2 separate regions of the Mus musculus genome follow, and region 1 is reported to be linked to region 2. Evidence: microRNA targets listed by miRTarBase, many of them from high-throughput screens and not tested one by one. Region 2 holds a microRNA gene; the other region holds the end of a gene's coding sequence.
What was found. The annotated mature microRNA mmu-miR-653-5p reads GUGUUGAAACAAUCUCUACUG and lies in region 2 at 2,325-2,345, shown strand. An mRNA with a match to its seed (bases 2 to 7 or 8) in the 3' UTR can be bound and repressed. Matches are read on the target gene's strand: a 7mer-m8 pairs with bases 2 to 8, a 7mer-A1 pairs with bases 2 to 7 and ends in A, and an 8mer does both.

Region 1: miRTarBase lists Adsl as a target of mmu-miR-653-5p. Seed matches in the 3' UTR shown: 7mer-A1 at 2,448-2,454.

What each region holds. Positions count from the first base shown.
Region 1 is chr15:80,968,395-80,971,394 of GRCm38, reverse strand. Adsl (adenylosuccinate lyase) reads right to left here. Exons shown (of 13, transcript NM_009634.6): 13 at 448-2,733. The coding sequence ends at 2,647. Among named protein-coding and RNA genes, the nearest start is that of Sgsm3, 7.9 kb to the left of the region's middle.
Region 2 is chr6:3,720,168-3,723,699 of GRCm38, reverse strand. Mir653 (microRNA 653) reads left to right here and starts at 2,315; the gene lies at 2,315-2,399. It overlaps Calcr (calcitonin receptor), which reads left to right. Exons shown (of 16, transcript NM_001377018.1): 4 at 699-777. It overlaps Mir489 (microRNA 489), which reads left to right and starts at 1,697; the gene lies at 1,697-1,803.

The sequences.
Region 1 (3,000 bases), not on the chromosome of region 2:
ACTGTTGGCCATGGTGTTTGCAGAGACCCCCACACTATGCAAGTACAAAGATCTGCAGTTTGACCCTCAGCAACCACAAAAGAGCCAGGCACAGAAGTGTGAACTTGGGAATGCCAGGACCACAGGAAGATAGAGACAGGAGATCCTGGAGGCCTACTAGAGAGTCTACTAAGTGGAAAGGACAGGTGTTGGGCTCAATGAGACTGTCTCAAAACCAAGGTGGGCAAGGGATGAGGATGCCCAGTGTGAAGCCCTTAATCCCAGCACTTGGGAGGCAGAGGCAGGTGGATCTGAGTTCAAGGCCAGGTCTAGAGTGAGTTCCAGGACAGCCAGGGCCACACAGTGACCCTCTCTTGAAATACCAAAAAAAAAAAAAAAAAAAAAAAAAGTAAAAGACACCCAGTGTCAATCACTGACATTTGACAGATGCTCTGCACCTCTGGCTTTGCTGCAGGATTCCTTTACTGAAGGAGGGCCAAGTCAGCATGGTACCACTGAGACAGATTTTTTTTTTTTTTTAAACACTGATTATCTCAATCTGTACACTATGTAGTCTGTGGGAATTATCTCCACGGCAATCCTCCTGCCTCAGCCTCCTTAGTGCTGGGATATTAAGACAAGTTGAGATTCTGGATACCTACGAGCACAGACTTAGACAAACACTCCTGACAACAACATTGTCTTTAGCTCCTTCCTAGACAGAGGTTGGGGTTGTAGGTCACTCTTGCTGGATCAGTCTACCAAACAGCACACCTGTCACCTCCACACCCTGGAGGCTGAGGTACATTTCAAGGCCAGCATGGAGAAGTCCACATACACTAAGACCTCAAAAGATGCTGGAGTCTTAAAGTCAGAGGTTTCTCTTTGGATCCAATCAAGATTGAACAAATACTGAATGTGGCATATTATCAGGTGACCTTTCAGGACACTACTACCATGTTTCCTGGCTGCTACGGAGTTTAAGGTTTGTTTACATTTATCCTTGCCAGATGAAATCTCAGTTGTTACCAAGTTGCTTAATTCTCCTAGTTCTTGTCAACTAAAAATCTGATCAACAGAATCTTCATGTCTGTTTTGTGGCAGTCTCTGGACTGCCCTGAAACTGTGTATGTTGGTCTGTGTACCAGACTCTCATCTGCAGAGATCTACAGAGCTCTGGCCGGGCAGGGGTGGCCAAAGAGTTGGGCTTTCTGAAGGGGACGGGGGACTAGGAGCAAAGGTTGGGGCCACCTAGTGTAAGTGACCACGGCAGGCTTGGGCAGCTTCTAGCGGTTATGTGCTACCACAACAGCTTTGCTCACTTAAACCACTTCACTATTATTGGTGGAGGTCAGAGAACAAGTTTGTGGATTCCCCCCACCCCCAACACAACAGGCCCTTACTAGTTGAGCCATCTTGCCAGCCCTTCAATTCCACACACACCAACACACCAAAATACACAGCCCAAGGCAAGGCGAATGTTCCTCTTCCGGCTGGTCTTGGTCTTTTCATAACTCACCTTTTGACTAGCTTGTCCAAATAGCTACCTATCTACTTAACAAGGCTAAGAGGCTGGGAGGTTCCATAATGCAATCAGTTTACCCAGTTAGCATTGTCCTGAGAAGGCAACCTCTGTAAAAGATGGAATAGGCACCTGAGGGACCCAACAATATCCATCCTTAGCTACAAACGTCAGGTTAAATATTATTTAACCTGGGCAGAAAGAATTGAAATCAAGGGATCTGATGATGTGACTCATGAATCCAGGAATTTCTTGCTACTTTACAATCAAGTAAATACTTGAAAAGGACTACAGGAAGAGTCTAGCCTAGTGTGTGGCAAAGTGTACCTGCATAGGACTCAGTAAACAACACTAGGCATTTGACTGTATTACTAATACAGTTTGTTAGGGGATCTTGGACCAGAAGTTACTGTCAAGTGTTATGAGCACATAACAATGTTTGATAGGTGAACTGAACTCATTTCCTTATGGTGACACAATCTCACTGTAAGTGAGGAAACATTGTAGACTCAAGGCATCTGGAAAATAAGTATGAGCTACATTATTCTGCAAGATTATGTTGCTGTAAAAAATATAAAACAGCCAGGCATGGTGGAGCACACCTTTAATCCTGCCACTGGGGAGATGAGGCAGATTTCTGTGTTCCAGGTCAGCCAATGATACACATTGAGACTCTGTCTCAACAACAAAAGACTGGAGAAAACAAGAAAGCACGGCTATCTGTTGTGAACCCCAAGCAAGAGAACTTAATGTACATTCTTTTTGTTTGTTTTTAAAGATTCATTTATTTTATGTATATGAATACACTGTAGCTGTCTTCATGCACCAGAAGAGGGCATCAGATCTCATTACAGATGGTTGTGAGCCACCATGTGGTTGCTGGGATTTGAACTCAGGACCTTTGGAAGAGCAGTCAGTGCCATGTCCCCAGCCTCTGTTTGTTTGTTTGTTGAGACAGGGTTTCTCTGTGTAGCTCTGGCTGTCCTGGAACTTGTTTTGTAGACCAGGCTGGCCTTGAACTCAGAGATCTGCCTGCCTCTGCCTCCTGAGTGTGTAAAGGAGTGCCGCAGAACACAGTAGTAACTCTAACACTGTAATCAGCAAGCTCTAATCACTGTAACCGGGTTCTCCTCAGCTCTCCTACTCTACAGACACAGCTCTGCTTTCACCGCCATCTCATTCCCATAGGGCTTTAGCAGGGGGCGCACTTCCTCTTCCAGGAATCTGTGGACCTGCCAGGGAAGAGCAAACACAAGACGAAGGAAGGGAATGTTAATACCTTCTTCAAACCACTCCCAGCACCAAGACCTAGCATGCTAAAGCTTCCTCCGCTGAGCGTGTGCTGTTAGCTATGTCTCCCAGAAAGAAACACGTCAACCCAGCACATGCATAAAGACCATCATGCAGAGGCAGGCCACCTTCTCTTCAGTTCCTCTCAAGTCTGCCAGACACCCACATTGAAGTCGTACATCCCCCCACTCTCAGCTCTAGGCTCATCT
Region 2 (3,532 bases):
ACCTAATTTTAAGTTTCATATTTATTGTTACACTTAAGCCTCTTTAAGTAGCTCAGATATAATGCATATGTTGCATATGCCTTATCTGTAGTATGTATATATCAACTGCAATACTTAGATTCTCAGATCAGTTAATTTAAAAATACCAAGATTGTCTTGAAAATCAGTTTTAAATTGATAAATGCTCTGGTGGGAATTTTATTTTGTGTCCTATAGTTTATTTTATCACATAGCACACATGGCTTGCTAAACTTGATGAATAATAATAAATTATACCAATTTTCAAGCTAGTGCTAAAATTGTACCTATATACTGACTGATACCTTAAAAATGTATTTCATTAGCTGATTTCCTTCTTCATACATCTTTCACTTGGCTTTCCATCCCCCATGTTCAAAATAGATCTTGCCATTTTTCTTATAACCTGTATTAAACTGTTTCGTTCAACTTAATACCTTTTAAAGCCAGGAAATCTCACTTTAGCTGATGAAAATGTCAATAGATATGGTCAGAAATTTTAATAGCGCTTTATAGACAACAGCCCACTTGACAAAAGGAACAGTGAAACATGTACATGCAGGTATGTCACAGGCATAATAGTCTTGTTTCCATGCCATTGTATGTAGTGCATCTGGAGAGGGAACAGGGTAAAGATCTGAGAGCTATACCATTTTACATCTTCATTACTCTTTTTCCAGGAAAAGGCGGAATCTCCGCAAACCGAAGATGAGGTTCCTTCTCGTGAACAGGTTCACCCTGCTGCTCCTGCTCCTAGTGGTGAGTGAAGATTGTTCTGTTTCCTGTTAATGGTCATGGAGAGTAGAGAGGAGTGTCTGAGTGTGGGTGAACTGGCAACTGAAAGGAAACCAAAACTGGGCTTCTCCAAACTGTCATTCTTCTTGAAGGATGTGAGAAATGTCCTTTGGATGTTTGCTCATTTTGATTATTGTCATAATTTATCCGAACAATTAAATTCCATTTGTTTGGGGAAGTTCATAATAATTTGTGTCAGATTCATAGTACAGACAGCCTGTATACATTTTTTACATGTTTTTGAAATGTGGATTTGGATTGTGGCTTCTGGGCTCTTCAATGCTTTTAAAACATCTGAACTCTGCCACTCTAGCCCTTGATTTCTCTCCAATGAATTTCTGATCAAAACTAAGAATCTTCAGTACTTTAGGAATCACTGGTATTCTGTAACTCTTTTGTGCCTTTTAAGTTCAGATTCATATTATATAACTTCATGTTTCTTTACTCATAAAGATTTGGCTAGTTAGAGGTGTAATTGCCTTAGAACACTCTATTGGTGTAAATTTGTATCAAAATTATGGACACACCATCACATCACCTTCAACAGTATGGTCTGAATCCATGTCCCTATTACCCATGGATCTGGTGAACCTGATCTAAGTGCAAGAGGACTGCTTACAACACTCTAGAACAGGCTCTCATTATTATGGTACTTTTAGAAACCTCTGGTAACCCAAAAGCAAACTGATTAACTCATATCAAAGTAGGATTGACCCTAGCACAAAGTCATGTCACCTGAGGCCATTTCCTTCTGTACGTCATGATCATTATGAATTAAACCTTCTAGAATGTAAGCCCCATGAGGGCAGAAACCATGCTAGCAAATGTACTGCTGAGTTTTCAGAACCTACAACAGGACCTGGTGACGCCTCATCTGCTGCTAACTGCTGCAGTGGCAGCTTGGTTGTCATATGTGTGATGACACTTTCTAAAGTCTTCCAGAATGACACCACATATATGGCAGCTAAACTGTTACATGGAACAACAAGTAAGATATAGGCTTGTGTGTTGGTTAGTTTTTAAAGACATGTGACATGTTTGTGTGTCATTGTCACCTTTATATAAGCATGGCATTATATATTTGTTGCATCATAAGCTCAATAATAATAAATTAGTCAAATTGCTTCATGTGATGCATATTGCTTGATTGTCTCATGATATCACTGCTGGCTTTAGTTTTTCTTATTACTGTTGAAAATAATGCTATCTCATTAGCAATTTTATTTGCATGAAATTATCAGAAAAGTTTAATTAACAATGTAAAATGTTTATATATAAATTCAATCTTAAGTAGTACTAATTTCATTATTAGAAAAATAATGTATATTTCTATCTGCCTGTCTATCATCTATCTATCCATCCACCCATCTGTAAATGAAGTACTTCAAGGTGCATGTTATTTAGGAAGAAGGTCATTAGAGAGTTCAATGCCCAAGCAAGGACCAGGCTGGAAGCAGCCCAGAATTCTGTGGCTTCTCTGATAACAGAGGTTCTGAGATTTCATTCTTTCAGTGTTGAAACAATCTCTACTGAACCAAGCTCCAAAGCGAGTTCACTGGAGTTTGTTTCAGTATTGCAGGAGTGCTAAGTGTGAAGCTGCCCCAATCAGCTACCAATACCTCCCTCATGTTATCCCCACTCCTACTGATGTTACAATGTGTCAAACCTAATAAAGATGTTGCTGAAAACACAAGTGTAGAGTGTTTCTATTTAGCATCCTTACACATAGTGTTTCCCTCAGGCTCCCATGAATTTCCAGTTGTTACAAGAATATTTCTTAATGAGTTGCCAAAACGTACAGGGATAGAATTTAGAATATGGTTCTGGAAAGATACCTAAGGAAAATAATTCCTAATGTCTAAAACTTGTAGTTAAAAAAAAGAGTAAAAGTGTGTGTGTGTGTGTATGTGTGTGTATACACATACCTCATCCCAGCTTTTAATTTGATTAGAAGACAATGAGCAGGTAGCCCACATATCAAGTGAGCCTGCAAATGGTTTCCAAATAGATAAACTTTGAATAGCTGTCCCACAAGGGCACTGTCATCCTCCCTTCTTTAGTGGTTCAGTCATATTAGTTTAGGCTTTTTAAATACAGTCACATACATTCATACAAATATGAGTAAATTAAGCGTTAAAACACAAACACAAATAAGGGATCTCTTTTACAGAAAAGAATAAGCTGAACAAAAACAAATTCTATCTGAGAATGTCCTGAGGGGAGGTGGTTGATTGTAGTCTCTCCTGTCAGGAGCACGCGTAGTGTGTCTTTCTAAGCTCCACAGGAGCAGGATTCACACCTGTTTGCTTCAGGACTTCATTCTTAGGAATGTTCAGCTTGCCAACGTCAGTAAATTCCTCTCACTGAAAGTCACTGAGAGATGAGTCTTGACAGGGACTTGTGTCTTGTGATGTGGTTAAAGGGGCCACACATGGTTAATTGTTTTATGAGGATCATCAATTTCCCTGATGTCATACATCTATAATGCATTAAATATTAAATAATCAATATTCAAATGGTAGAAGTGTTATAATACTTAGAAGTATCTACCCTCTTCACCGTGTAAACAGTTTCTACCCAGCTAACTTGTGGGCATGTCTAAAACAGGATTCATCTTCCCCTACAAAGATTTTGACTCAATATCCCCTTCCCCCAGGAATCATCCTTTTCAGTAGTATGGACCAAATACCTAGGCCCTTTGGGAATCACTATCCCCAGT